Linked DNA regions of Oryctolagus cuniculus. The protein of the gene in region 1 interacts with the protein of each later gene in a biochemical or structural test. Links are inferred from orthologs where the notes say so. Each region holds a gene or a part of one and is shown in the gene's direction. Other genes may lie near its edges.

Region 1 (10,198 bases):
GACTTCTGACCCTGCCCTTGAGTGGCTAACAGTGCATGCAGGGGGCAGCCTGGTAGCTTTGCAATGGGGAAGTAGACATGAAGAGACTCACTCATACCGCTGTGGGGCCTAGACCTCTGCTGGCCAGACCGCCTACGCCTGCGCGTGGTCCGTGGGCTCAGCTGCTGACGTGCAAAGACTATTTGGCTGGAGGACCTCCCCTGTGATCGAACTAAATGCTGAAGTGGTGATCGCTGGCACGACTGCACCTTCTCATGGAGTTTTCTTCTTCTGGCTCTGATGATTACAAAAGTGTTTCCTCTGGTACTAGAGCGAAGTTCTATCCATTTTAAGATAGGACAAACACATTTCTTGCTTCTGTACGATTTCTCTTCAAATTTTATGATTGTGAAAAACTTTATGTAGGATGGGGGAAAATTATCAGGGACTCCTGGTTCATTTAAAAATGCAAAATAGGGGCAGGCGTTGGGGTGCAATGGTTAAGCCCATGTTTCAGGTCTTGGCCGCTTAGCTTCCAATACAGGTCCCTGCTAATGCGCTTGAGAAGGCAGTGGAAGGTGCCAGAGTACCTGGGCCCCTGCCACCTACATGGGAGATCAGAGTGGAGATCCTGGCTCGGATTAGCCCCAGCTGTTTCGCCCATTTTGGTGAACCGGCGGATGGAAGATCTCTTTCTCTCTCTGCCTCTTCCTCTCTTGCTCTGTAGCTCTGGCCTTCAAATCAATAAAAATAAATCTTAAGAAAAAAATACAACATCAACCATACTTACAAAATGCGTTTAGGATACCAAGATGAAAATATAGGATCCCTGCCCCAAAACCACTTACAGTTAAGAAATGAACACGCAGGCCGGTGCCGCAGCTCACTAGGCTAATCCTCCGCCTGCAGTGCCGGCACTCCGGGTTCTAGTCCCGGTCGGGGCGCCGGATTCTGTCCCGGTTGCCCCTCTTCCAGGCCAGCTCTCTGCTGTGGCCCAGGAGTGCAGTGGAGGATGGCCCAAGTGCTTGGGTCCCTGCACCCACATGGGAGACTGGGAGGAAGCACCTGGCTCCTGCCTTTGGATCAGCGCAGTGTGCCGGCTGCAGCGCGCCGGCCACGGCGGCCATTGGAGGGTGAACCAATGGCAAAGGAAGCTTTCTCTCTGTCTCTCTCTCTCACTAACTCTGTCTGTCAAAAAAAAAAAAAAAAAAAAAGTGCAAATACTCCTATGGTAGAGTGAATACCACTGCATAACTACATAAATACATTTTCAATTAAACCGATGCAAAACTTGGAAACATGTTGAAGATAATAGCAGTAAATGTGCATAACAAAAAACACCCTAGGAATATTAAGTGCCATCCACTGCATACCTAGATTAAAAAGCCAAGAAAACAAGCTGAAACTCTCAAGAACCACTGCACTAACGAGCCACTGCAGGAAGTGTCTTCGTGGAAGTCTGTGCCTCCTACCTCATTTTAATTCCATGTACTTAATTGTTTTTTGCAGTTTCATTAGGGCATTTTCCCTGTACCTGTTAATTTTGAGGAAGCTATTATATTATATAAAAGTGGGTTTCTTTTTAAGGTGTCCAAAATGTTGCAACAAGGCTATTTCAAGATATTCCAAAACAATGTGAAATACACACTTTACCAACTTCATATTTTCTATTTAGCCTTTACCTTCATGTCACCGGAAGAGAAAACATTAATGATAATTCAGGACATAATATTGGTAAAATGCTTACATGATAGGATGGTAACAGATATTGTCCTGTTAAAAAAAAAAAAAAAAAGGTGCACTTGAACCACATTTGGCATAAGCCAGTCTCGTTGACAACTTTAAGATGCTGGGAGAAACGTGGCAGAGCATTTTATCCAGGTGTGTGGTGGAGAGGAAGTAAGGAGGCTTCCAGGAGGGAGAAATCCAGGCTAGCCCACTGGAGAGATGGCCTGGAGTGGCAAGAGCCACAGGACATTTGAGTGTGTGTTGGGTATATGGTGTTGATACCATAACAGCATATGGCCTTGTTTTTTTTTTTTTTTTTAAGATTTATTTGAGAGACAGAGAGAGAGAGAGAGAGAGCGCTTCCATTTGCTGGTTCATGCCCCAAATGCCTGCGATAGCTGAGACTGGGCCATGTTGAAGCCAGGAGCCCGGAACTCCATCCAGGTCTCTCAGGTGAGCAGCAGGGACCCAAGTCCTTGAGTCGTCATCTGTTGCTTCCCAGGGGATGGGTGAACAGGAAGCTGGAATCGGAAGCTGAGTGGGACCCAAATCCAGCCACTTTGATATGGAATGAGGGCATCCCAAGTGGTGTCTTAACAGCTGTTTAGGCCAAACAGCTGTTTCCTTCCGAAGTTCTTTGTCAACATGAGTCCAACTTTTTTTTTTAAGGACTTTTCTCCCTTTATCCGGGAGAAATAACTCTGTGTGTGTCTGTATATATGTTTAATATATATATGTGATGTTTATACAACTTTTTTTGTAATAACAAGAAAAAATGGAAACTTCCTTAAAATATAGAGGAGGCTTAGTGAATGACGGCTCATTCAACCGATGGAATACTAACTGCTATTAATGTTATTATTTAAATTTCAATTGTTTAATACAAAAATGAGTTCATAGCACAATTGTAATTAGACAAGGCATGAACACACCTGCTGGTGTGAAATGTGTGTCAGTGCACACATGTCTTCTTAAGAAAGTCCGGAAGGGTGGATGCTGTTATGAACATACAAAGGGGGTGTGTTCCTGAGTGATGCCTACTGGTGATCCTAGCCTACTTACTGTTTTCTGTATGGTAAAATTGTTGGTAATTACCAGAATCTAATTTTTAGTTTTTGTTTGGAACTTGGATATAGTTGCTTATTAACTTCTTGGTTCATAGCATACCCCTATTGTGAGTTTATATAGGGCCTCTCTCATTTTAACTTTGCTTCTTTTTAATAAGTTTTTATATTCATGAATTACTTTTAATGTCAGAACAACGTTTTAAAAAGATTTATTGATTTACTTGAAAGTCGGAGTTACACAGAGAGAGAGAGAGACAGAGAGAGAGAGACACAGAGAGAGGTCTTCCACCTGCTGTTTCACTCCCCAGATGGCCACGATGGCCGGGGCTGGGCCAAGCTGAAGCCAGGAGCTTCTTCCAGGCCTCCCACTTGGGTCCAGGGGCCCAAAAACTTGGGCCATCTTTGCTGCTTTCCTAGGTGCATTAGCAGGGAGCTGGATTGGAAGTGCAGCAGCCAGGACTTGAACTTGCACTCCTATGGGATGCTGGTGCTGCAGGCAGAGGCTTAACTGATTGTGCCACATGGCAGGCCCCAAAGTCAGAACAGTGAATAACGCTTGTACAAGCAGGGCGATGAAGGGCTTCACTTGTCTGTAAGAACATCAGGGGTGTCAGAAATTGTGAGCGCAGAGATAAGAACACTGGCACCAGTCATCTGGGACCAGGGCACATCATAGAGACCTCCTTTAGTCAGGGTTATCTCTGTGACAACTCTGCTTCCAAACAGTCTGCCGAAACACAGCCTTTACAGCCACACCTGGGTTTGAATTCTGACTTCCCCTGCTCACGGGTGGGCCGGCTTTGGGAGAGTCACTTCAGGGCTTGCTTTCTCAGCCGTATAACCGAGATACAATGTTATAGTGAGGATGAGACCTCTAACAGGCGTGGGAAGAAGTGCAAGCCGATAGTAACTGCCAGTTGGGGGATTCTGCTTCTCCGGATTTTCTTAGGCCATCAAACACCTCTAAGCGAAACCCACGGGGAGGGTCTCTCAGCTCTGCACCACACTGGCATCCATACCAGCGTCCTTCCTGGCTACGTGTGTTCTCTTGTTTGGTGCCAGCCATAACTTGCTGGTAGTGTTTAGGGGAAGCCCACACAAAACCCGTTGGGCACGCAGTGCGATGCTGTCTAAGGCAGTCACGCTGGGAGAGAAATGAGCAGCGTTCTACACGGGAACACTGGGGACGCCTCTGACCCCTGTGTGCCTACGACCTGAAGACTTCCCTCATCCCATGAGCCCCTCGACCCATCTGAGGCGAGGATCTACTCCCGGCGATCTTGTCCTATTCTGTCTCGGTTACTTAGATGTGCATTATGCAAGCTTCCTCCATTGCTAGCAATGAAAACTTGACTCGGGAATAACTTAGTGGTCAAGGTGGCACTTGCTCAAGTGTCCGGCAGCAGTGAAACCTTGGCGGATGGGCTGGAGTGGGGAGAAGGCAGGAGAGCAGGTGGAGGGAGGAAGGGGTTGTCTTCCAGGTGGAAGTTTGAGCTTGGGAAGCACTGGGTGACAACCTCTTTCATGAATAGGGACACTGTTGGCCACTTCCTCTTCCTTAGATGCGAAGCTGTATGCAGACCTCAATTACATTAGGAGGGCAAGTTTGAAAACACCAGCAATCCAGAACTTTTATTTTTTTTAACCAGTCATGAGAATCAGTCTGAAGCTAACCACTTGCCTAATTTTTTTTTTTTTTTTGCCAAATTTATTTAAGGTCTGGTCTGATTACTTCAGGGCCTTTGCTCATTTGAATGATCGCCTTAATATATCAGTGCTGTACCTGCAGACTGTGGGAGGGGAATTCTGCTGGAAATTTACACAGGCTGGAGGCTTTCATTGGGATTTCTCCTCTTACACCTGTGTCGTCTGTCAGATTGTGTCTGTGGCTAGTCTGTGAAGAGACTGAGCCCAAGACCCCGACACGGACACTACCTGCACACGGCAAAGTCAGGCTTAGAAATCAACCACCAGATTAGCGACTTTCGCTGCGTGCAAGCCCGGACGAACGCTGATTAAACACCATTACCTGGGGGGGCGGGGGTGGCACAGCAGACAATTCCCAGCACGCCCAGCATGGGGAGGGGTCCACGGGCTAATGCACCAGGAGCCGGATGTTAGGGAAGGGCTCCGGCCGCGGGCAGCGCAGGACGGGCTCGGCACCCACGCGGGGTCTGCAGTGGGAGGGGGCGCGCCGGCCCGGAGGCTCGGACGTGGGTCCCACGTGGCAGGGCCCGGCCGCGCGTCAGCCGCAGGGGCACCCCGGATGCGGCCGCGGCGCCCGGGATTCCTGGGATGTCTGAGGCGCGCGGGCGGCCTCCTCCCCGCCCCCGCCGCGGCCTCCGTGGGCATTTTCCGGCGAGGGGGGCCGCGAGCCCTTCCGAGAACGGCTCCTCCGCGCGGCCGTGCGCGGCCGGCGCGCTCCCCGGGAATGCAGGCGGCCGCACCGCGGTGAGAGCCCTCGGGCCCGGGCGCGCGGGGGTGGGCTTCCCGGCTTCCCGCCCGGCGGCGGCCCCGGCGCCCCGGCCCCTCTCCGCGCCCCCCCACCCCGCCCCGCGGCCGCGCGCGCCCCTCCCCCCGGCGCGGGCGGGGCTGCGGGCGCCCGACGCGGAAGCGCGGGAGGCCGCGCGCGCTCCCGGGGCCGCAGTCGGCGCGGGCGCGGCGGGCGCGGGGCGGGGCGAGGCGGCCGGGGAGGCGGCGGGCGCTCGCGCACGGGCCCGGCCGCCGCCTCGCCCCCTTCCCCTTCCCTCCCTCGGCCCGGCCGTCCCCCTCCGCACCCCTCCCCCGAGCGAATCACGCGCCCTCCTCTGACACTCGTAGCGGGCCCGAGCTCCGAATTTATCCTTCACGTGACCTGAGGGGGGTTGGGTGGTTGGCTGGGGACCGAGGGGGAGCAGGAAAGGAGGGAACGAAGTCTGCCGTTTCCCGGGCAACAAGCCCCGCCCGCCGGCTTGGGGCCGGGGGGGCGGGCGGAGGACGTCAGCACGTCAGCCGGGGTTTTGCGTTTTGATTGACAGTTGCCATAGCGACCGGGTCGGTCCGTCGCCATTTTGTTGGTTGGTTTTTTTTTAAACCCTTTCGCTTCCCGCCCGAATAATAATAAAAAGCCCCATTGGAGTGAGGCGGGGGTGGCGGCGGCAACCGCGGCGGGGGGATCCGGGGAGACTGCTGCCGTCGCTGCTGCTGATCGCGGCCCAGGTCGGGCTCGGGGAGCGGACACCCCGAGCGGGGGGTGCGGGCGCCGCCGCCGCTGCCGCCGCCGCTTCTGCTGCTGCTGTTCCTGCTGCTGCTGGTGGTGCCGCTGCCGCCGCCGGCCAGCGAGCGAGCGAGCGGGCGGGCGGGCGGGACCGGTGTGAGTGTGCGAGTGTGTGTGTGCGAGCGAGCGGGCGTGCGTGCGTGTGCGAGTGTCTGTCTGTCTGTGCGGGCGCTCGGGGGCGGGCGGTTCGGGCGCTCCTGGCGGAGAAGCCGCCGCCGCCGCCGCCGCCGCCGCCGCTCGGGCCCGGCGCTCCTCGCTGCGCAGGTTTGGAGCGCGCGCCATTTTGTGCGATTTACAAAATCCTCCTCGGGAAGAAGCCGCCGGCAGCGGCCGCCACTCGGCGCCCGGCCTCGCCGCCGCCGCCGCCGCCCTCCGCGCGGCCCCGCCGCCGGGACTCGGGGCCCGGGGACTGCGGTATTTGCCGGGGAGGGGGCTGTCGCCGCCCCGGCCCCCGGCGCCGCCGGACCCGCGAGCGCGAGAGACTGAGGAGGCTGCGGCGCGGCCAGGAGCCGGCCGCGCCGGGGGCGGCGAGAGGCGGCCGGGGCGGCGCTGGCTGCGGAGGCCGCGGCGGGAGCGCGGCGCGGGAGCCCGAGGCTGAGACTCACCGGAGGGAGCGGCGCGAGCGCCCCGCCATCGTCCCGGTGAGTGTCCGGCCCGGCCCGGCGCTCGGCTCCGCCGGGCCCGGCGGAGGGAGGGACCTGCCATTTTAGGAGGAGGCGCCGCGGGGCCCGGGGCCGGCCGCCGGGGGAGGGAGCCCGCAGCCGGGTCCCGGCGGGGCGGCGGGTGCGCGCGGAGGGAAAGTTGCGGAGGGTGGGAGCGGGGGCCGCGGCCTCCCGGGAGCCGGGCCTTCTCTGGTCGCCGGGGCGGAGGGAGGAGGCTGTGTTCCTCCTCCTCCTCCTCCTCTTCCTCCTCATCCTCTTCCCCCAGCTCCTCCCTCGTCCCTCCTCTAGGTCCCCACCAGTGTGGGAGCCGCCGGGGTTCTTCGCAAGGACAATGCACGGGTTAAGGGAAGCGGGGCCGCGCCGGGCGCCGGCGAAGGTCGGGGCCCGCTGGCTCGGCGGCCCTCGGGGGTCCGCGCCGGGTGGGGGTGGGGCGGGGGACGCGGCGTGCTCGGAAGTTGGGGCCGGAGTGCGGGGGAGCGGTGACCTGCTTAAGCCGCCGCGGAGACGCGAATTAAAATTGATACCTGTGTATTGCTACAAAACTTCGCGAGTCTATTTATAGGCACAGACCCGCCGAGGCTTCGCAGGCACCGGGGCCGCCGACTGTCTGAGCATTCGGCGAAGGCCTCCCCCCGCCCCCTCCAGCCTGAAACAGTTAAAAATGGCAAAATTAGTGAGTCAGTGGTTGCCTGTGCCTTTCGCCCGTCCCTGGATCCTAGGACTCCCATACTGCAGGTGCAGCGCTGGAATGCCAGCACCGTTTGCTTCTGGAATTCCGCCCCGACGGTCGGAAGAGACCCCCGTCTGCATTGTTTTCCGCATGTAGAGATTAGGGCAGATGGTGGCTGGCACTCCTCTCACGGCTTTGGGGATATTTTACCCCGTGTGCTGCCGGTAGGAGGTGTTAACCCATTTTACAGATGGGCACATTGAGCCCGGAGAGCGGGCAGTGACTCCTCCAAGGTCACACAGCTGGGGCTCCCGGAGCCAGGGGGCTGGCTAGGTTCTAACTAGCAAATTTCGGAACGACTTGCGTGCAGTGACTCAGGGTTCGATTCTAAGAGACTGTGTCTGTCCACTTACGGTTTCTGGCATGGGATTAACTTTGTAGTTTGCAGAAGTGGAGATGCAAAGCGGAGGTGAGCCTCTTTAATGAGACTTGCCAGCCCTCTCTCCCTGAAGAAAACCAGGCAGTCGATTTTTGAATGGAAGGAATTAATATTCCTTGGTGCTTCTTAGTCTTCACACTTAATTTTAATTATAGACATCCTTAAAGTGTTATGAGTCATAAAGTTTTGTGTAGTTATTTTCAGTCATTTTTCCCTTTGAATATTTAGATTTCTTCTGTACCTCATACATGTGCAAAGTGTTTAATAATGAATACACTTGGTACTTTGATTTCGAGGTATTTTAGTAATTCAGTGGAATTACCTTTAGCCTTTTTTTTTTAAAAAAAATTTATTCATTTGCTTTAAGAGGATATACTCCTTTCAGATAGGTAATAAATCTGAAGCTAGAGCTAAAATTTGGCACGCCAAGGTTTTAAACTGAAGAGGATTGTTTCAGAGAAACGGTGGTTTAAGGAAGAAGTTTATTTGGTTATAGTCGAGCTGTTTCATGTACGTATGACTTAGGCCTGCCTGGAGTACTCCGGGGCTTTGGGCGCATTTGTCTTGGCATAGCAGTGGTGTTTATGGTAGCTGTCCAAATTGATCTAGACTTCAAACCTTGCCAGAAAGTTAAGGACTCCTGTCAGTGTCTGCACCACGTTCCCTTGCAAAACGGGGCGTAAGCAGGGTCTGTGTGCTTGGGAGAGGCCTAGGCCAGCAGTTAATGACTGTGAGAGGAGGGGTCGCCACTGTGCACTTAGGGTGGGTATTGAAGAAATTTTAGATTTGGAGAAATAGGCTCAAATGAATGAGTCATTGGTAAGAGTGAGAGGAATCTAGTGAGATCGTACTCTTAGAAAGTTGAGATTTCACGACATTTTAGTGGTACCCATTAGAAACTTAACCAGCATGAAAAATTACTGTGTACTGGAAACTGAAACATGAATGTCAGCCCAATTTTTTAGAGGCTGTAACATTCAAGATAAATGAAAATATTCTGCTTTAGTGCAATATCTTGTTTGGCATTGTGGACAGTAAATAAAGACCCTTGAAAATTATTTCCTCTGTATTTTCTGATACCTACCACTTAGTTTTATTTATGGAAAGTTATTGTGTATTGTGTTCATGACTTAACTACGTAGGGCTGGGGAGTGTTTAAAGAACTTGGGTTTTCATAGTATTTTGAATATTTAGCTACAAAGGCAGAGTTGAAGGTAACTTATTACAAACATTGCTACAAGGACCTTTGGCATGCGTTTCGTCTTGTAACCATGCAGAGAGAATGCTGGTTTGTATTGCATTTTGACTGTTACTTGAAAACCATGTTTGGTTTTTTAAAATTATTATGCTGTCATATAACTTCATCTATAAGTACTTAAGTGTTTTTTTTTTAATTATTCCATTTATTTGAAAGGCAAAGTTATAGAGAGGCAGAGGGAGAGAGAGAGAGGAGACAGAGGAGAGAGAGAGAGAGAGAGAGAGAGGAGACAGAGACAGAGTCTGCTGGTTCACTCCCCGATGGCCGCAGCGCTGATCTGAAGCCAGGATCCAGAGCTTCTTCCGGGTCTCCCACGCAAGTGCAGGGGCCCAAGGACTTGGGCCATCTTCTACTGCTTTCCCAGGCCATAGTAGAGAGCTGGATCAGAAGTGGAGCAGCTGGGACTCAAACCAGCGCCCATACGGGATGTCAGCACTGCAGGCAGTGGCTTTGAAAAAGAAATATCTTAGAAGTTTAGTTTGCCCAGAAGTGTTTTCATGTACATGTTTATGATTGGCAGGTATCTAGCTAAGGGAAGAAAATTTGGATAGAAGTACTTGCATCAGGGGTAGGAAGGGAATAGTCTTTTACATGACATGAAAAGTAAGAGTAGTGGAAGAGGGGCGTAACTTGTGACCTTGTTGGTATCAGTAATTAGGTTTGTGTCAGTTTATTTTGCTTTGGCCTTAGCTTTCTCCTAACGGGAGAGCTTTCATATTTCCTGTGCTCACCTGTCAGTCCTCCCTCCTCCCTGATACCCCTTCCTCCCCTACCCCCAGGAAAACCTAACCATCCAAACCTATCAAGACCCCAGAACTTCATGGAGTCTTTAATCAAAAACTTGGCACTTTGTTCCCCAAATTATTATTAGTCTTATATAATATCTTACAGTCTTTTATAGAATTCTTGAGTAACTTAAACTGTGGACTAAGAGTGTTTTATTTCCTGGTGAGTGTTTTGGTAATTTTACTTCCATAAACAGTTGTCTTTTTGATTTGGAAGTAAAGATATTACTTGAAACTTGTCAAGACATGGTCGCCTGAAACTTGATCCTAACACAGTGGCCTTGTCAGAAGTGAGTTGTGCGCCTGTGTAGTAAGTAGCACTTAACGTGTACCGAGTGGCTGTGCCTTCTAACA
Region 2 (10,260 bases), on another chromosome or scaffold:
GGATAAATAAGAAAGGGAATGTATGTGTCCATGCTTTGGGATACTACTCAGCAAGAAATAGGAATGAAATATTGTTACATGCAACCTATGTAATTACAGTAATGAAGGAAAGTGAGAGACGTCAGACATATCATGGGTACAAACTGGATGATTCTTTTTATATAAAACTAAAAATAGTCCAACTTAATCTGTAGTGTTACAGATCAGTGGTTACCTGGGGATGATAAGGAAGTTGATAAGGAGGGCTAAGAGGGAAACTTCTTGGGGTGATAAATATGAAATGTGTATTATCTTGATTGTGATGTTTTCACAGGTGTATACAAATGGTAAAACTATTGTGTATGTCAAATTGCACATTTTATTTCTTTTTAAGGTTTATTTATTTGAAAGTCAGAGTTACAGAGAGAGAGAGAGAGAGATCTTCCATTTGCTGGTTCACTTCCCAGATGGCCACAGAAGCCAGGGCTGGGCCAGGCCGAAGCCAGGAGCCAGGAGCTTCATCTGGGTCTCCCATGTGTGTGCCAGGGGCTCAAGCACTTGGATCATCTTCTGCTGCTTTTCCCAGGCCATTAGCAGGGAGGTGGATTGGAAGTGGAGCAGCTGGGACACAAACCGGTGCCCATATGCGATGCCAGTGTTACGGGTGGTGGCTTCACCTGCTATGCCACAATGCTGGTCCCAAACCGCACACTTTAAATAAGATATTCTATGTCAATTTTATTTTCAATAAAGCTGTTTCTAAAATGCCACAGGTGTCTTATAGGAAAAAGATATGCTGTCTTAATACAAAAGCAAAAGACAGCTAGGGAGAGAAAGCTACAATAAAATAACTCTCCATGTTTGTATATATGGTATGGAAACTGGTTTAAGAAACATTCAAGTCTAATTGAAGTGAGCCAACTGAAGCTCAGGGCCGGATGTAAAAGAAAGTTAAAAGTTCATGATTTATTATTATCTTGTCTAAAGAGAGACCATGTAACTGAAGGGCACATGATGGGCCAGTCTGTATGCCTGCAGTGCTCTCCAGGATAAAGGGTGCTGGTAACTTTGGGCCAGGAAAGAATCCTTCCAAATACCTAGTCTGTTTCCTCTCCTGAGCCCCACACAAGCTGTTCAAACCATCAGCACTCCTGGAGCCCATCATGAGTTATGGTTCTGTGTACCAACATAGAACCTGGTACACACTTTGGTATTCAATACACATCTATTGACTGAAAGAAAGGGCGGCTGACGTCTGCCCCCCCTCAAAACTAGGTTAGGAATTCCTTTTTTATGATTGCATAGCATTTGGTGCTTCCCCAGCAGGTTTCTCTCTCTGTATTGCAACCCTGGCTACTATCTACCCCCCATAGCCACTGCAGGTTCCATGCGCGCAGACCTGGCTTCTGCATAGGCTTTCCTCCTTGCTCTATGCTCCAGCCATCCTGAACATAGTGTATGCTCTTTGCTCTTGCACCTGCTCCCTCTTACCCTGGCAGCTCATCTCACTTGCTTGGCTCAGTCATATTCCTTCAGGTCCTCCCTTAGCCATCACTTCATTTTTTTTTAATTAAAAAGTATTTATTTTTTGAAAGGCAGAGTTACAGAGAGTGAGAGAGAGATCTTCTATCTGCTGGTTCACTCCCCCAAATGATCACAATGGCCAGGGCTGGGCCAGGCCAGAGAGCCAGGAGATTCATCTGGGTCTCCCACACAGGTGCAGGGGCCCAAGCACTTGGGCCATCTTCCGCTGTTTTCTCAGGATATTAGCAGGGAGCTGGATCAGAAGTGGAGCAGCCGGGACTCAGATCAGTGCCCATATGGGATGGCGGCAATGCAGGCAGCTGCTTAACCTACTGTACCACAGTGCCAGTCCCAGCCATCACTTTCTCTGGAAACTGCTGTTTTCAAGTCTGGGCTAACTACCTGGTTGTGGAGCTCACAGGCATCTGAATTTATTTATTTCTCATTTCACATCGTGCAGTAACAGCTTGTCAAGTTATTAAGTTTCCTTCCCCTTCGATTACTAGTTCATCGTGTCCTCAGGCCCTAGCCTGGTTCCTGGAACAGAGCAAGCACTCAGTAATAGAACAACACAGAGATGAAAGAATGAGTCCTCACCAAGTCATCACTTGGTATAAACTTTGTTTCATGTGCTCTCTGTTATGGGCAGAAAATGCACTGACCAGCCAAGCTGAGCACTTTGGGCCATTCAGCTGTACTTCTTCACTTGCACACGGCCTCCTGGCTGTCAATGTCAAGGGGGTACAGAGGCACTGCCTCTGCTAGGAGTTGCTGTGCAGTTTCTGAGATCAGCTTTCCCACCTTTTCATTTCCTTAGAAATACTCGCTGAAGAAAAGAAACTGTCTTCCGACGGTCACTCCAACTTTCTGCTTTCCAGGTGTTTAGTTCCCACGTGCTACTTCTTTTACCAGGGACTCCTTTCTCCTCTTGGTTAGTGGCCTGGTAGTCTTCCAAGCAACAGGCCCAGAGTCAGCCCCCTTTGGAAGTTCTCCTGACTTGCACAGGTTGAGTTTGGGGCTCTTTCCCCATGTCCCTGGGCAGTTCCTGTTGTCTAGGAATGCACTTACTGCGTTACAGTCAGGGATCTTCCAGGGGAACACAGAAAAAGATGCCAAGATTTAAGTCCTAAATTCTCAGCCCCATCAAGTGCTAGGTGAGTGGCCTGGGGCCACTGTAAGTGTCAGGGAACAGGCTTCATTATCCTCATCGATTCTAACCTTCAGGAGTATTGCAACTAGCAAGTGGCGGAGCTGGGGTAGAAGCCACGTAGGAGTGGGACTGTGGAGCCTTCTCTTTCTGTCAGCTCACTGAGGCAAGCCAGGCTCTCTAAGGCTGGTTTTCTTACCTCTGAATGGGAGTGATGATATCACAAGGAGAGAGGTTCTAGCTTAAGACTGACTAGCGTCAGTAACAGAGACTGTAAGTCAAACACTTCAGATAGCTGAAAACTTGAATTCTCACCTTTATAGATCCCTTTGATAGTCCTCTAAATATTCATGGCTGCCAAATCTAGACTACTCTGTATCAAAGTTTCATGATAGAGCAACTCCTAGTCGGCTAAGGAGCATTATTTTTTTCTTTTTCCAGGTCAGTTGAGAAGCTCAGAAAATTGTACCTGTTTCTGAAATGAAGTACATGGGAGACAGATTCTCCTCTCTGATGCAAAGCACAAAATACCTTCAATGGGAGTGAGGCGGAGGCAAAGGGAAAAGCCAATTTTAGTCAAAGATTTGAAGGAGAGGCTGGTAATGGACAAAACAGGGTGGAAACTGTTTTCTTGCTACTAAAAAGAAAAAAGCTGCTAGAGCAGAACTGGAATCAAGGCAAGAAATAAGAGTGAAGCCAGCCCACCCGGCGAACCCCTCCATCTTCCACACTGTTCCATTAAACAGTGTATTTATAAATATGAACCTTTGCTGATTCTGCCAAGAATCTTAAAACTGCTTCTGTTTTTGCGGAAGAACTCAGGGAAACACGGTACATAATAATAATAACCTAAAAGCCCAGCAACACAGAGAAGTTCCCCGTTTGAACATAAGGAATAAGAAAAGCAGGTTTGGGAATCCTGCCTACTGTAAATATTGCCTCACTGTGCAATTGCTTGCCAGGCTAGGAACAGAGGGGAAAGCTACTCAGGGTTGGAGACTTGGAGACGACAGGCCTGGCTGGAGACAGGACCCAGTCTCCCAGGGGCAGATCGGAGGGTGTGCCGGCACACGGAGAGCTGACGTTAGGGGGGAAGCTTGGAGCTTCTCGCCTTTCTTAGCTTCATTCTCTGTCGCCTGTTTTAGAGATGTTTAGTCCCCTGAAGGGACTGGAACAATGCGCTAGCAGAACTTCGTGCCCTTATTTACTTGCAACATGAAAACTGTAAATTTATTGAGACAAAGTTTAACAGAGTTAAACTTTGGCAAGAACGCCTCCGGGTTGTGGGAAATGCAGAGCCAGAGTTGGGGAAAACAGCTTAGCAAGTGTCTGCCTGTGGTGAAAACCTGGTGCACACTCCCAGAGCGAGATTCAAAGTTCACTCGCTGACCCTCGCCCCTCGAGAACCCCCTCCCTCCCTTACCTCGGTTCACGGGTGGGGAAAGGGAGCCATTTGGACGCTCCTGGCGGGCGAAAGAGCTCTAAGAGAGGGGAGTTTATGCGAGAAAACGAAGTGGCTGGTGCAGAAGTGACAGGGAAAGGCAGTGGGCGGGCCGAGAGGTGACAGCAAGAGTGGCAGCAGGGACCGGGTAGGGCTGAGGACGGTGGGCGAGAGCCAACAAGCAGGAAGCCCCGGAGTAAACGGGTGAAAGTCCCGGGAGGCATCCAGACTAGGGGAGGTACGGGGTGGGGGTGGGGGAAGGAGGAAACTAGGCCGCTGGGCTGGGAGGGGAACACCAGGGTCGGCCAAGAAGGGGGCTGGGCCAAGAAGTCGGTCCCGCCCGAGGATGGCTCAGAGTGGACGGAAAGCATCCAAGTCCCAGCTTCGTGGTCCCTCGGTGCCACCCTCACTCGCCTGCAGGATCCGGGCCCGCACTGCCGCCGCCACCACCACCGCCGCCATGGTTCTCGGCCGCCTCTTCTACGCTCCCCCAGCCTCCACCGCCCGCGCTAGCCAGAAACACTACAGCTGCCAGGCCTCCCCCTCCATCCTGCCCGACCTTCTCATTCGTGGAGAGGAGCATTTCCTCTGGCCAATCACTCTCTAAAACACCTGACTCCACCCCCGCAGGCCTGCTCCTGCGGATATGTGATTGGTCAAAAGCGAAAGCGCTCTCGCCCCCTCCCACCTCAGAGAATTCTATTGGCGGAGGTAGGGAAGACGCCCCTACCTGGGTACTCTGTATTGGACACGGAGGGGAGACGCCCCCTAACCTGGAGTTCTGATTGGCTACAGCCACGACCAGGGTTCCACCCCCTACCGAGGAAAGTAAATAAGACCCTCCAAGAATTTTGCAGTCGCTCCGCCTCCGCAACAGCACGAGGGGCAGGGCTGTCGCTAGGGGCGGGGCTAGGCAAGGACTGTCCTATGGGGAGGAGAAACGAGACTGGGCTGCGAGTTGGCGATAGGGTTTCGCTTTGGGGGCGTGGCTTAGGGGTCCTCGCTTTCCCGCCGACGGTTGGCCACGTCACGTGACATGGGTTGGAAGATGGCGTCTCCCACAGACGGTAAGAGCCGGCTTAGAGACCCTTGGCCTGCAACCTCCTCCTTTGCTCCCATTGAGAACTTCCACTCTCCATCTGCCCCTCGAACGTACACTTCTTTCTCGGGAACCTCTCCTTTCCCTTTTCCTTGGTTTCACCTCGCCGGTTCTTCACATCCGCTGAGAGGCGCCGGGTTTCCCCGCTGTGTACCCTGCAGGTGGAGGAGAGCACCCACGTAGGGCAGAAGGACAGTGGTCTCATTGGCCCTCCTTTTTCCCTATTTGGCTGAAGTTGAGGGACGAGGAGGAGATACTGCTGAGAGAAAGGAGGTGCCTTGTTATATATAGTTTTCTGCTCCTCCGGGTGCACCGCTGATGTATCATCTCTGCTCGCACTGAGCACTGATCGAACTATCCTCAAGTCCTAGCTGGGTTGGTGGCCGACCCCGTCCGGGGACTGAATTGCAAGAGAAGCGGGGACCTTTTCGTCCCCTCGCCGCGAGGGTCCCCAGGAAATGACAGTTGAGCTCTGCTTTAGAGTAGTTTCGCGTACATCTCAGTCTCTGCAGGGGCCGCTGTGTGTGCGGGTTCCCCTGCCTGGATGTTGTCTAGGACGCGAGGTTTTGGTGTATCAGCGCGCTGTTGTGCTCCGATCTGCCCTAGAGAGCTAGGGTCTTGCGGGCTGCCCTTCCATCACCCCATCCCCAGGTCAGGTTCATTGATGTGCAATTTCCCCTCCTCGACCACAGAGTGTTTTTGGAAGAAATCTTGGGGAGGGCGTTTTTTTTTTTTTGCAGAGGTTTCATATTCTATATTGACACCATTGAAGAAAAATGAAACAATAACGAGACATAAGATTGGCAAAAATCAAAAAGACTAATGAGACCGGTTTTGTTACAGGTTGTCAGACGACCACATGAAAGTGTAAAGCAGTACTTCCTTTTTACCGAGTGACATGGAGATTGCTATCTAGATTACAGGGTTGTCTGAGTTTGAATTTCAATACCCTAATTATGGATTCTTAAATTTCTTCCCTGGAAGACAATTTGGCCTCAGGCCGATTAGCAATCTAAAGGAGGGGGTAGGAAAAAGCACCTAAGATCTCTTCCGCTGTCTCCTGGCTACCCTGGTCAACACCAGAGCAAGGTGCTGAATGGCTCACTGCAGAGATGATGGGACCTTGCGGGAGTTGTGTGGGGGTGGTCTACAAAATGGCTGCATCTTGGAACAGCTTGGTCAGAGCATGCCATTAGGGGAGGATTGGAAGACTGGATTATTGCGTCAGTTGATGGCCCCAGTGCCAGGAGAGGAGAGAGGTATACCAGCCTTCCCATGTGTGCCTCATTTTTACTCCAAATCTGACACCGATCATCCTGTCAAAATATTATGGGCTTACTCAACATATATGAAAGGCGTTAATACCAGGTGCTTCCGAAAATGTAAAAACGAATCAAACATGTAAACTTTTTTTCTCCCAGTTCCAGGTTTCTTTTAGATGTTGTTCCCCAAAGAGGCTTTTCCAGAACACAGTGTTGGAGTTGCCCCTCTCCCCTGTTTAAATATCTCAGTATCTTCACTGATGGCATTGTTATTCTGTTAGTTTTTCCTCTTTCACAGTAGATTATAAATTCCAAGTCTGTCTTGTTCACAGCTGAATCCTGGGATTCAGCAGCACAGTGCCTGATTTAGCATCTTAAGGCTCAATTAACATTTATTGAATCAAAGAATATATAGAGAGAGGAAATAATGTTTTGCTTGACCTTAAGTTTAACTGAGTTGTAACTTTTTGAGCATAGGTACATACTGTGTAAGAAATTGTGAATAATAGGGCCGGCGCCACGGCTCACTAGGCTAATCCTCCGCCTTGCAGCGCCGGCACACCGGGTTCTAGTCCCAGTAGGGGCCCCGGATTCTGTCCCGGTTGCCCCTCTTCCAGGCTAGCTCTCTGCTGTGGCCCGGGAGTGCAGTGGAGGATGGCCCAAGTGCTTGGGCCTTGCACCCCATGGGAGACCAGGATAAGTACCTGGCTCCTGCCTTTGGATCAGTGCGGTGCGCAGGCCGTGGCGGCCATTGGAGGGTGATCCAACGGCAAAGGAAGACCTTACTCTGTCTCTCTCTCTCTCACTGTCCACTCTGCCTGTTAAAAAAATAAATTAATTAATTAATTAAAAAAAAAAGAAATTGTGAATATTTAGAATCAGACAAGATTCTGCTAAATCCTCTGGCCAGAAAAAGAAGCGGGGAGGAGTTATTTTAAAAGTCAGCCAAAGGAGTCTGGTGCCGTGGCTCAATAGGCTAATCCTCTGCCTGCGGCGCCAGCACACCGGGTTCTAGTCCCGGTCGGGGTGCCAGATTCTGTCCCAGTTGCCCCTCTTCCAGGCCAGCTCTCTGCTGTGGCCCGGGAGTGCAGTGGAGGATGGCTCAAGTACTTGGGCCCTGCACCCCACGGGAGACCAGGAGAAGCACCTGGCTCCTGCCTTCAGATCAGTGCAGTGCGCCGGCCGCAGCGGCCATTGGAGGGTGAACCAACGGCAAAGAAAAATCTTTGTCTCTCTCACTGTCCACTCTGCCTGTCAGAAAAAAAAGAGTCAGCCAAAGGAATGGGGAGTTTTTATTTCATGGGTGCAGAGCTTTAACTTGAGAAGGGGAAAGGGCTCTGGTGGACAGTGATAATGGTTGCACTGTACTAATGTACTTAGTGACACTGAGCTCTAAACAATTTAGAAGTAGAGGTACTTGCTCTTAAAATGTTCAGTCTATTATTGTTTTTATGTTTATGCATGTAAGTCTTTGGAGATTTTGGGACTGCGTTCTTTATGTTTGAATTTTCCCCGTGTCCTCTCAATTTCTTTCTCTTTCTTCAGCCAGGAAGAGTATTGGAAACATTTAGTTTTTCCTGTAATCTTCTAGCCATCTCCAAATTCACTTTATTTTCACTCTTTTCTGTTTTTGAAAAGTTGGTTTTTGTTTTTTGTTTTTGTTTTGTTTTGGAGAGCAGAAAGAGAGTTCCCATCTGTTGTTTCACTCCCTAGCTGCCCACAGTGGCTAAGGTTTGGGCCTGGGCCAGGGCCAAAGCTGGTAGCCAGGAACACCGTTCTCCCGTGTGAATGGCAGGAACCCGATTTCTTGAGCAGTTACCACTGCCTCCCACAGTGGGCACTAGCAGGAAGCTGGAATCAGAAGCCAAGAATTGAACCCAGATACTCCAGTATGGGATGTCGATGTCTGAACCATTAGGCTAAATGCCTGTACCCTCCCTCTTTATTTTTAAAAGTCCGGGTTCTCATCTCTACAGAGTTTCACCCTTCTCCACCTAATCTTTTCTTTTTAATCTGACAAAGTCAGTTAAGCACTTTCAACTTAAATTCAGTTTCTGAATAACTAACTCAATTCTAAAATATTCCACTGCCTAGCTCTCTCACTTCTATATTTTGAGTTCACTTGTCTCTCTTATTTATTTATTTATTTATTTATTTATTTATTTATTTAGAAGGCAGAGTTACAGGCAGAGGGAGAGGCAGAGAGATCTTCCTTCTGGTTCACTCCCTACGTGGCTGCGATAGCCAAGGCTGAGCTAGGGTGAAGCCAGGAGCTTCATCTGGGTCTCCCACATGGGTGCAGTGCCCCAAGAAGTCGGGCCATCCTCCACTGCATTGCCAGGAGCTTTAGCAGGGAGCTGAGTTGGAAGTGGAGCAGCCAGCACTTCACTGGTGCCCATATATAGAATGTTGGCCCTGTATGCCGGGGCTTAGCCTGCTGCGCCACACCACTGACCCCCACCTGTCCCTGACTTTAAAGCTTAATTCACATAATGATGATTTGTAAATAAGTTAAGATCCTTTACTTTTGTGTCTGTGTGTGTGTGTGCCAAGTTTGCTGGAACTTATTTGAAAAGGAGCAAATTAGAATCCAAGTAAAGCCACTTAATTATTGAATTTGTAAGTGTAAGACAGCAGAGTCTGAGTTATGTCCCAGACATACCAGGTGCTTCCGAAAATGTGAAAACGAATCAAACATGTAAACATTTTTTCCCCCAGTTCCAGGTTTCTTTTAGAAGTTGCCTCCCGGCCGGCGCCGCAACTCACTAGGCTAATCCTCCGCCTAGCGGCGCCGGCACACCGGGTTCTAGTCCTGGTTGGGGCGCCGGATTCTGTCCAGGTTGCCCCTCTTCCAGGCCAGCTCTCTGCTGTGGCCAGGGAGTGCAGTGGAGGATGGCCCAGGTGCTTGGGCCCTGCACCCCATGGGAGACCAGGAAAAGCACCTGGCTCCTGGCTCCTGCCATCGGATCAGCGCGGTGCGCCGGCCGCGGCGGCCATTGGAGGGTGAACCAACGAACCAACGGCAAAGGAAGACCTTTCTCTCTGTCTCTCTCTCACTGTCCACTCTGCCTGTCAAAAAAAAAAAAAAAGAAGTTGCCTCCCAAAGAGGTCCTGCGCTTTTTTTTTTTTTTTGACAGGCAGAGTGGACAGTGAGAGACTTTTTTTTTTTTTTTTAAGATTTATTTATTTTGCTTGAAAGTCACAGTTACACAGAGAGAGGAGAGGCAGAGAGAGAGAGAGAGAAGTCTTCCATCTACTGGTTCACTCCCCAGATGGCCGCAATGGCTGGAGCTGTGCTGATCTAAAGCCAGGAGCCAGGAGCTTCCTCTGGGTCTCCCACGTGGGTGCAGGGGCCCAAGGACTTGGGCCATCCTCCACTGCTTTCCCAGGCCATATCAGAGAGCTAGATTGGAAGTGGAGCAGCCAGGTCTCGAACCGGCACCCACATGGGATGCTGGCACCGCAGGCAGCAGCCTTACCTACCACGTCATAGTGTCAGTCCCGGTCCCCCTCATTTGTCATTGGATCCTACCCTTCAGTAAGTTCATTTTTGTTATGGTTGAGCTCCTCGTCAATAACAAGTAGAAAACTGGCATTTTGTGTTGCATATAGCCTTTGCTTTAGTTAATGCAGTGTACTAGACTTGAATTCTTTACCAGTAGAATGTTTTAGAAATTCCCTTGGAATATTTGGTAAAAGAGGTTCAGTTTAGAAAAAGCATTTATTGAAAAGTTTTATGTATAAATGTACATTTTTCAGGGAAGTGAGTCTGTAGCTTTTCTTTTCAGATATCTAAAGATGTAGTTTG
Region 3 (10,394 bases), on another chromosome or scaffold:
AGGCCCCATATCCCCTCCCAGGGCTACAGCCTCCTAGGTCCCGGAAGCCGGCCCTTCGTGGGGGCAGGACCTGTGCTCCAGGGCACCCAGGTATACTCCTTCCGTTCCTGTGACAGGCAGCAGGAGGACACAGGCTCTGCTGGGAAGGAATAGGCCTGTGGAGCCAGCTGGACTGAGCTGAGGCGCCCCTCCCCCCCTCCAGGTGCAGCCCCTTCCTTAAGTATCTCAGATGCGTCTGGCCTCTGGCCCGAGTTGCTGCAGCCAATGCCCTTAAAGCACAGACCCCCAAGCCCGCAGGGAGACCCAGACTGCTGGCCCCGGGAGCTGGGCTCCAGGCTGGATCAGCTCCAGGCCCAAATGAACAGGTGAGTGCCCTGTGGGCCCCCGCCAGAGGCAGTGGCAGAGGACAGACCTGGGTGCTGGCGCCCCCTCCTGGTGACTCAAGGCCATCACTAGTGCCGGGTGGGTTTTAGAATGACCGGGCCACTTAGCAGCAGGCCTCTCTCCATCCCTATCATTAACCACAGTCCTTGAATAACTTCCCCCAGCAGACCCTGAAACATACCAAAGAAGCTTGGGATGGGGTGTGGCCTGTGGACGGCAGGGCTGTGGCGACAGAGTGAGGGCTTAGGGGTGGCACAGACCCAGCTTTCAATTCTTGCTCTGCACTCTTGCACTCAGCAAGAGTGTGGACAAGTTATGTAATTACTCTGGAGCCTCCGTTCGCCCTTTCAAGAAATGGGGAGAATTCGAATGCCCATGTGAAAGCAAACAGCAGGACCGAATGATGCGTGCTCGGTGTCTGGTCACAGGTGTCATCAGTCAGGGCCGTGCTAAGGGTAACACGGGCAGGGGCTGTGGGTCCTCGTGGGAAATAGCTTCAGGGAGGTCCAGGTTGCCATTTCACTGGGCGGCAGCAGCCCGCAGACTACAAAGCGGGGAGCCTGACCCTTACCGCGGGGTTCTGTCTGGCAGGTTGGAGTCCCGCATGTCCTCAGACCTCAGCCGCGTCCTGCAGCTCCTTCAGCAGCCGGTGACCCAGGGCCACACCAGCTGCATCCTGGGAGTCCCTGCCTCCAATGACCTGGCTTTGTTTCCTGCAGCCTCGGGGACTCAGAGTCCAGGACCCAGGCTGTCCCCTGCACAGGTGAGAAGTGAGGGGATCCCCAGGGATGACCAGGAGGCAGCTGCATGCCTTCGCCAATCCTAACTTGATGTCCATGTGACATCAGGTCCAGAACCACTGTGGCCCCTGGGCAACCAGGGCTCTGCCATCCTCTCTGAGATGAGTGGTGGCCTGGACAGAGGGGTGGCCAAGCCCAGACTGGCAGCCACAGACTCACAGCCGAGGCAAGGGCAGCAGGACCCTGAGGTACAAGCCAGCAAGTGCAGCTCTTGCTGGCTCCCATTCCCGAAGTTGGGGGGATGAACCCACAGCCTGGCCTCGGGGCTCCCCCACACTCCATGTTGCCCTCTTTCTTGCCCCTCCCAGGCCGCAAGCTTTGGTGACTTGGACAAATGTGGGCCGAAGCACAGGAACTCCTCCTCCAGGATGCCTGACCTGGTTGTGGCTGCGGATCAAACCCTGACTCCGTTGTTGGACCAGACGCAGCCCGAGGGCCTCCTGTCACCCCTGGCCTCTCCTTTGCATCCCCTGGAGGCACAGGGACTGGTCTGTGGTCCCCGCTTCCCCTCCCTCCCTGAACACCTTGACTCTGTTCCCAAGCAGCTAGAGTTCCAGAGACACGGTTCCGACCCTGGATTTGCAGGCAGTTAAGGCACCAAATCCCAATACACCGTGAGGGGAATGAGTGAAGGCAGACAGCTTCTGAAATGGGCCTATGAAAACCTTTCTCCTAGAGTAGCTGCGAACTGCTGGCCGGGTGACCCGGGGGGGGGGGGCACGGATGAAGAGCTTCAGGACTTTCCCAGCTTCCCAGGGGCTCTCTGTAGCAGCAAGCCTGGCAGAGGGCGGGGAGCCTTGGGCATGGAGGTAGCTTACGGAACAGAGAGTTGGTGAAGAAAGATGTTCCTGATTGTCCATGTGAGGGCCTGGCTGTGCACTGCACATGGTCACCTCCCAGCTCAGCACCACCTGCTTCTTGGCCCAGCACTAGGCCTGGGTTGGTCAGACCACTGGGAGAGCCCAGGATCCAACTGGAGGTATAGGTGACCTCTGGGGCAGACATGTTGGAACAGAGCTACAGCCCTTGGTCCTTCTGCCTCTGGTTTTCTGATGACATCTGGGTCCCTAGAGGGCCGTGGACCGTCACTCAGCTAATAAAGCCTATACATATCATGTTGGGACAGGTGTATGACTTACCTAAGGAGCTGATAAGGACCTAAGGAGCTGATAAGACCTCAACTGTGCTGTGATCTTCTCCAAGTAACTTCTCACCAGGGCCTGGGGGCCCACCTTCTACTATATCCACTGTGCTGGGGACCTGAAGTTGGTTCCCTGGACCCAGGCGCCCTCAGAGCCTGGGGCTGTTAGCCAGGCTGGGGAGAAGGGAAGCTTGGTGGCCCTGGGAATTATGACAACAGCCAACTCTTCGTGAGGCTCTGCAGATATCAGTATCTACTCCTCAAAGCGAGCCCAGGAGTCGGCGTTATTGTCCTCATTCTAGAGAACGTGGGATCAGCAGCAGAGGAAGGGACTGCAAAACCACCCAGGCGCGTGTAAGGCCGCCACAAAACACACCAAACACCGGAGTGAAGGGAAAAGCTGTCGGGTGGGGGAAGCCTGGCGGGCTGGGGGAGAAGGCGAGAGTACGTGTTGGGGAAGAGGTCCTGGTAAACCTCTGCCAGCGGCGGGCAGGGAAGTAGGAGCAGTGAATCCCATTAGGGTGGGGGTGGAGCCGACACCTGTGGTTGGGCCATGGGGTCTTAGGACTGAAGCTTACTATGCAAGGTGGCGATGACAGGAGCCAGAGCCTAAGCTGGCGCCACAGATAAGACGGCACCCTTTTACTAACAGCATGCTGGGACTTTTGGGGGTGCCGGCATCATTTTGTTTCCTGATCTTGGAGCTGGTTACATGAGAGTTCACATGTACTTCCACATACAAATGATACTTCAGTTTTAAAAGTGAGGTATTTAGCAAAATGGCTAAGGCACCCACAACCCATCCCCAGCCCTGGCTTCTGACTAGCTTCCTGGCAGTTCACACCCTGAGAGACAGATGTGATGGCTCAAATAATCGGATTCCTGCTGTGTGGGAGACCTGGCTTACATTTCCAGCTGGGGGCCCAGCCCATCATGGGCTATTGTGGGCATCTGGGGAGTGAACCAGCAGATAGGAACTTTGTCTTTCTGTCTCTCTGCCTCTGAAATAAAACGTTTAAAAATGAGGGGCCAGTGCCGGTATCCCATATGAGCACCAGGTTCTAGTCCCGGTTGCTCCTCTTCCAGTGCAGCTCTCTGCTGTGGCCCAGGAGGAAGCACCTGGCTCCTGGCTTTGGATCGGTGCAGTGCACCGGCTGTGGCGGCCATTTGGGGAGTGAACCAACGGAAGGAAGACCTTTCTCTCTCTCCCTCTCTCTCTCTCTTTCTCACACACACTGTCTATAACTCTGTCAAATAAATAAATAAATAAAATATTCATGACTAACACGATGGGAAAAGGACATAATTTCAGCGCAGGCAGTCTGGCGTGAGAGTTTGTGCAGTTAACCATTCTGCTGAAGGGGCTGTTATCTCCAGGATACCAACTCACTGACCTTCAGTCTCGGTACTTTGTGCTCCAGAACTCTCTAAAAGAATTCTGGGAAATTTATCTCTCCTCCATTTTTAAGTGGACATCTGAAATATTTCATTGATAAGTTTAAATAGTTGCAAAGGAATCAATGTCCAGTGCATTATAAATATTGACACTATATAGAATTTTTTCATCTCATGTATATTTATCCATATTTATCCAGGTAACATAGATTTTAGAGCCATCATCATCCACTTTAAAAACATAAGAACAGGTTTTCATAAGTCTAATTATCCCTTCCACTCTAGTTTTAACCTACATGTAATTTATTTTGATGCTTAAAAAATTTTGATAACCCTATCATGTTTGCAACACACGTATATTAAACTGAAATTTTAAAAAGAATTGTAACTTTAATAAGGCACTGTAAGTAGTATTAAGTGGGGCCAGCATAAAGGCCCCACCTGCGGAGGCAGCATCCCATATAGGCATGGGTCATGTCCTGCTGCTTCAGTTCCAGTCTAGCTCCCTGCTAATGTGCCAGAGAAGGCAGCGGAAGATGGTCCAGGTGTTTGGGAGACCATACGAAGCTCCCAGCTGGCTTCCACCTGGCCCAGCGCTGGCCCTTGGGGCCATCTGGGGCCTGAACCAGCCAAGAGAAGATCTGTCTCTTCTCTCTAACTCTGCCTTTCATACAAATAAATCAACCTTTAAAAAATAAAAATTAAGAGCAAGGCTGGTGGGCTCGGTGCCCAATAAAGACCAACCCAAGACATGGGAACATTTCTAGAATCTGCAGGAAGGCGCTGTAAGGCCTGACTCAAGCTGGCTTGGCCCTGCGCACACCTGCTGCGTGTCTGAGGCCTGCCCTTGGAGCACTGGAAGCACAACTCTCCCGCTAAAAAGGCTTTGAGGGATAAGTGCGGCGGGCCAAGAGGTCAGGCCTTGGACTCAGTACTGTAAAATGCGGTAGTCCTCCATTAAGACAGAATTTAAATTTTACTCAACAGCCTAGGGAGGCCGCTCAGTCTAGCAGCAGCAACGGTGAAGTCAGGGCAGGTCGCACAGAGGTTTCACTCTCAGCCACTTGGCCTAGAACTTGCAGGTCGCCTCTGGGCCACCCACGCCCCTATTCACCCGCACTGCGCCGTTATCTGGGTGACTGACATCTTGGCTAGCCAATGACCTTCGGGACTGCGAAAGCGCCTGCCTCCAGGAATTGGGCGGGGCAACTACTTGGAATGATAAATACTTGCACCAATAGCGAGGAGATTTCAGACGCCGCGGTCGTAATAACCAATGAGGAGAAGGAACCATTTCGAAAGGACGTGTCAAGCAGCCAACGGCCGACGCCGCTCCAGGGGGAGCGGGTGGGGGGCGGTCGCGTGGCTTCCGTTCCGAGGAGGCGGGGCGACATCCCAAACGGAAGGTGGTTGTTGTCGGTGCCGAAGCTTGTTTGAAACTGGGGGTCGGGCCCTGTTGTCGTTGTTTGTCGCCGCGGCCCCGCTTCCGGGCTAGGCAGTTCCTGCCCGCCCCCGCCCCGCCTCCCTTGAGACCCCTCCGTCCCAGGCCCGGCTCCCCGCCCGAATCCGCGCCCCGCTCTTCACTCCCCGCTGCAGCCCCGGCCCGCAGTGCGGCCCCGCCGCCACCATGTCCCTGCACGGCAAACGGAAGGAGATCTACAAGTATGAAGCGCCCTGGACCGTCTACGCCATGAACTGGAGTGTGCGGCCAGACAAGCGCTTTCGCCTGGCGCTGGGCAGCTTCGTGGAGGAGTACAACAACAAGGTGGGCCGGGCAGGGGCTCGGAGCCCAGCCGGCGGGGAGCGGGCCCCGGGTCTGGCCCTGTGCTGGCGGTTCCGCTCTCGTGGTCCCACGTAATCCTGCGTGGTCGGGAGCGTGGAGGGGAGACGGAGGCAGCGCGTGTGACTTTCCCGAGGCAGACGGGTATTTCGTGGTGGTAACAGGTCTCAGAGCCGAGCTGACGTTCTGGAGCTGCGCCAGGTGTCCGCTCCCAGGCCCTCCACTCCTGCCGCATTGCCTCGGCTGGGAGGCGGGGAGGGAACAGGGAGCGATGAGGCTCCCCAAGTGGTGGTCGCGGCGTCCCTGGCTTGCTGAGGGTTTCCCCGCCCCCTAGTCGCACTCGGCGCGTCCCTTGGATCTGCATCCCTGCTGCCTGGTTTCCAAGGCCTTCGCTGTGGCCTCCCGCGACCTGCCCTCTCCGAAACAACCTGTTTGTTTCTGGACATCTTGGCCTGCAGCATCATCCCGCCATTGTTTTCTTGGCTTCTTATGTGCTAATAGTCCTGCCGTTTGTAACCTCAGGTAGCGGAGCTGACCGGACGACCACCAGTTTGAGAATCCTTCATGGAAACTCTGTTGCTAGGGGATGCTTCTGCACCTGCAGTGCAGCAGCGTGCATTTATTTTTGAGAGTAATTAGCTAAGTCAGTGGGAGGAGTTTTCTTCTGTATCTTGTTTTTCTTGTGTTGGAGCAACAGTTGTGAATAACCGTGAACAGAGCACCTGTAAGGTTCAGCTGGTGGTGTTTAGAGGCTTTCCTGTTCCTCCATGCATATCAGATTGAAGAATAAAGCTGTGGCCGTTGGCAGGCCTGGTGCAGGGGAAGAAAGGATTGAGTTCCGTCTGGTTCACCCACTGGCTTTGAGGCGTCACACCCCCGGTCATTTCTGACCCACAGTTTGCTATAGGAAAGGGGTGCTGCTTTACACATGAAGATCTGTAAAAAATAAAATCTGAGCTTTTAAAAAAAGATTTATTTATTTCCTTACTTGAAAGGCAGTTACAGAGAGAGGGTGAGATAGAGATCTTCCACTGACTGGTTCATTCCCCAAACGCTTGCCAACAGCCAAGGCTGGGCCAGACGGAAGCCTCCACCCAGATCTTGCACATAGGTGACAGGGACCCAAGGACTTGGGCCATCGTCTGCTCCTTCTCAGGTGCAATAGCAGGGACCTAGATCTGAAGCAGAGTAGCTGGCATGGGAACTGGACTCCGCTGCGTGCCACTGCACCGCAGCACCTGCCCCACAGCATTCGAACATCTTCAGTGTTCACAGTTTTTCAGGAGCACATTTGTTTCTCTCTGCAGTAGGTCTTAACTTCTTTAGGATCCCCTTTGGGAAACTGACGCGAGCCACGGGCTTGCATTGCCAGACATACTCATACACGATTTACAAACAAATCCTAGTGAGTATGCACTGATCTTTTAAATTTACCACTGACTGTGCAAGACGTAGCTTTAAAAAATTTTATTTATTGGAAAGGCAGAATTTCAGAGAGAGGGAAAGACAGAGGAGAGGGAGAGCTTCCATCAGCGGTTGGTTCACTCCTCAAATGGCTACAACAGCTGGGGCTGGGCCAAGTGGAAGCTGGAGGCCTGGAACCCCATCTGGGTCTCCCACAGGGTGTCGGGGGCCCAAGTACTTGGGCCATCTTGTGCTGCTTTCCTGGGTGCATTAGCAGAGAACTGGGTCAGAAGTGGGACTTGAACGCCGGCGCCGCAGCTCACTAGGCTAATCCTCCGCCTTGCGGCGCCGGCACACCGGGTTCTAGTCCCGGTCGGGGCGCCGGATTCTGTCCCGGTTGCCCCTCTTCCAGGCCAGCTCTCTGCTGTGGCCAGGGAGTGCAGTGGAGGATGGCCCAAGTGCTTGGGCCCTGCACCCCATGGGAGACCAGGAGAAGCACCTGGCTCCTGCCATCGGATCAGTGCAGTGCACCGGCCGCGGCGGCCATTGGAGGGTGAACCAATGGCAAAGGAAGACCTTTCTCTCTGTCTCTCTCTCTCTCTCTCACTGTCCACTCTGTCAAAAAAAAAAAAAAAAAAGTGGGACTTGAACAGGTATTTATACTGGATGCCAACATCACAGGCATTGGCTTAACCTGCTGTACACAGCGCCGGCTGCAAGACACAGCTTTGTTTCTTTTCCTCTGGTGCCTCTTTCTCCCCTGTGGCTTGTAGAGAAGGCAAAACAGCAAGTGGAGTTCAAGGTCCTGATGTCGACATCATATTAGTAAAATTAAGACCACAAGAACTACTCTTTCAAAATACACATGAAAAAATAAAAAGTAAGATACGTCTTTCAAACAACTTGAATCCACATAAAGTGATGTAATTTTGCAAGTTCTTTCAGGGTCAGTGGGCAAGCTGTGGCTCTCATTTCTGAGAGAGACAGACTGAGACATAGTTAGGCTGCAAGTGGAATCATGGGCTAGTTGATGTCAAACCTCAGTTGCAGGAAGTTCCCAAAGTTTTTCTTTAGCAACTGTATGGATGTCCTTCTTTGTGCCGGTCGTGTAGGCAGGCGGCTGCAGTGGTGAAATACAGATGAATCCCTGTATTAACAGAATAAGCAGTCAACTCTGTCTTGTTTCATCCATAATGTAGGCAATGCAGTGTCTTACAGTTTTAGTGCCTCTACCTATCTGTAAGTGAGGATTCTTTTTTTTTTTATTTTAATGAAATTATTTGACTCTATTACCTCAAAGGTCCTTTTTCTTTTTGACAGAGTTAGTGAGAGAGAGAGAGAGACAGGGAGAAAGGTCTTCCTTCCGTTGGTTCACCCCCCAAATGGCCGCTACGACCGGCATGCTGCGCCGATCTGAAGCCAGGAGCCAGGTGCTTCCTCCTGGTCTCCCATGCGGGTGCAGGGGCATGAGCACTTGGGCCATCCTCCACTGCCTTCCCGGGCCACAGCAGAGAGCTGGCCTGGAAGAGGAGCAACCGGAACTAGAACCTGGCACCTATATGGCCAGCTGGCACCTCAGGCAGAGGATTAACCAAGTGAGCCATGGCGCCAGCCCCAGTGAGGATTCTTAACTTCTGTGTGTATGTACTTTGGATAAACGGCTTTGGTAATTTGATACCAGTAGACCCCTTCTCATAATTGTGTTTTCAAATGCATAAAAGACATAGGATTCAATTAGGAAACTAATTGAACCATAGATAGCCAAACTACTTTTTAAAAAGTGGTGTATGATTAAACCACTGCATGTGACATTGGCATCCCATCTGGGCTCCAGTTTGTGTCCCAGCTACTCCACTTCCAATCCAGCTCCCTCCCGGCTAATGGCCTGGGAAAAGCATCTAAAGATGGCTCAAATCCTTTGGCCCCTGCCACCCACCTGTAAGACCTGGAAAAGGTTTCCAAGCTCCTGGCTTCAGCCTGGCCCTGCCCAACCCCAGCGGTGTGGCCTTTTAGAGAGTGAACTAGCAGATGAAAATTCTCCGTCCCTCTCTCTCTGACTCTGCCTTTCAAATAAATAAATCTTTTTTTTCCAAAGTGGTATATGCTAATATGTACTGTTAAATTGACTTGTTAAATTAACCATCCAGTGTAATGTTGACTGTAATTTTGAAGTACTGATGAGGGTAAACAGCACAGCATTCCAAGATGTGTATCGGCCGGCGCCGCGGCTCACTAGGCTAGTCCTCCGCCTTGCGGCGCCGGCACACCGGGTTCTAGTCCCGGTCAGGGTGCCGGATTCTGTCCCGGTTGCCCCGCTTCCAGGCCAGCTCTCTGCTGTGGCCCGGGAGTGCAGTGGAGGATGGCCCAAGTGCTTGGGCCCTGCACCCCATGGGAGACCAGGAGAAGTACCTGGCTCCTGCCAATGGATCAGCGCGGTGCACCGGCTGCAGCGCGCTGGCCGCGGCGGCCATTGGAGGGTGAACCAACGGCAAAGGAAGACCTTTCTCTCTGTCTCTCTCTCTCACTGTCCACTCTGCCTGTCAAAAAAAAAAATGTGTATCAATTATGTAATGGGATATGAATTTTTATAGGTGACAAAGTTAAAGATACTTTACACCACTGTGTGTATGTGCCTCTGTTTGTAATTGAAGGAAATGATACATTTCAACTAGAGCTTACTGGAAAGATGAATGTAATTTTCTACTGAAGTCCTGCTATAGATCTTTGCATGGGGGCAGGTGGGCAGTAAATCCTACCTTTAGAGTGGTTCTCAGGCTAAATTTCAGAGAAACCTTGCCATGGATGTGGCAGACTCCATAGTTTAGACAAAGTTAAAATTATTGGTTGGACTTCTCACACCATTGATTCCATTGTCAATAGAGACAAAACAGATGGATGCAACCATTACCATCAATGAAGCCTGACATGGTCATCTTTTTTAATGTGGAAACATGATTAGAGTTTTTAGATTTTTTTATATTAATGTGATTATGTTCTATCATAAGACTGTTCCTATAGTTGGTCCATAGACTTAAAACTATGAACATTTCAAGAATTTGGCTTCTAGGCATTTCATCATATGAATAAATTTGGGAATCAGAGTAAAGAAACATTTCATCAACTACAGCAGGAATAAAAAGTCCCATTGTTGATTGTTGTGTTCTACACTCTTTTTTGAGTTCTCTCTTAGGGTATGTAGCGGTAGTGGTGTTGATTTTAGTGTGAGATGGTCCTAGGCCTCTCCTGAAGGTGACATACAAGCAGGTGGTTGAACTCAGGTCATCCGGATGACACTCTTAACATCACCCTGGAGTTACCTTGGCATCTGCTGAACAGAAGCAGGGATCCAGTCTCTGCATCTGCTTTCTCCCGAACATTGTTTCTGTCTGACCATCCAAGTTCATCCATGACAAATGCCAGACAGCCTCTTCGAGTTAGCCTGAGTTGAGATCTTCGTTTTACCACTGCCCACGTTTGTGTGGCTTTGGAC

Evidence for each region.
Region 2: of the proteins of DYRK1A (region 1) and LIN52, one has a biochemical effect on the other in vitro, tested with the Homo sapiens proteins (3 studies listed by BioGRID). The link is inferred for Oryctolagus cuniculus from reciprocal best matches to the Homo sapiens genes DYRK1A and LIN52.
Region 3: the proteins of DYRK1A (region 1) and DCAF7 form a complex in vitro, tested with the Homo sapiens proteins (2 studies listed by BioGRID). The link is inferred for Oryctolagus cuniculus from reciprocal best matches to the Homo sapiens genes DYRK1A and DCAF7.

What each region holds. Positions count from the first base shown.
Region 1 is NC_091435.1:7,578,980-7,589,177, reverse strand, and holds the start of DYRK1A (dual specificity tyrosine-phosphorylation-regulated kinase 1A), read left to right. Parts: upstream 1-4,416; 5' UTR 4,417-5,225; intron 5,226-5,755; exon of another isoform or gene 5,756-5,830; intron 5,831-5,906; exon of another isoform or gene 5,907-5,972; intron 5,973-6,547; exon of another isoform or gene 6,548-6,671; intron 6,672-10,198. UniProt on the Homo sapiens protein: Dual-specificity kinase which possesses both serine/threonine and tyrosine kinase activities. Exhibits a substrate preference for proline at position P+1 and arginine at position P-3.
Region 2 is NC_091451.1:20,249,743-20,260,002, forward strand, and holds the start of LIN52 (protein lin-52 homolog), read left to right. Parts: upstream 1-4,919; 5' UTR 4,920-5,127; coding exon 5,128-5,158; intron 5,159-10,260. Other genes in the region: ALDH6A1 (methylmalonate-semialdehyde/malonate-semialdehyde dehydrogenase [acylating], mitochondrial), read right to left, coding at 4,506-4,553.
Region 3 is NC_091448.1:15,150,165-15,160,558, reverse strand, and holds the start of DCAF7 (DDB1- and CUL4-associated factor 7), read left to right. Parts: upstream 1-5,096; 5' UTR 5,097-5,347; coding exon 5,348-5,485; intron 5,486-10,394. Other genes in the region: voltage-gated inwardly rectifying potassium channel KCNH6, read left to right, coding at 203-365, 976-1,147, 1,493-1,777. UniProt on the Homo sapiens protein: Involved in craniofacial development. Acts upstream of the EDN1 pathway and is required for formation of the upper jaw equivalent, the palatoquadrate. The activity required for EDN1 pathway function differs between the first and second arches.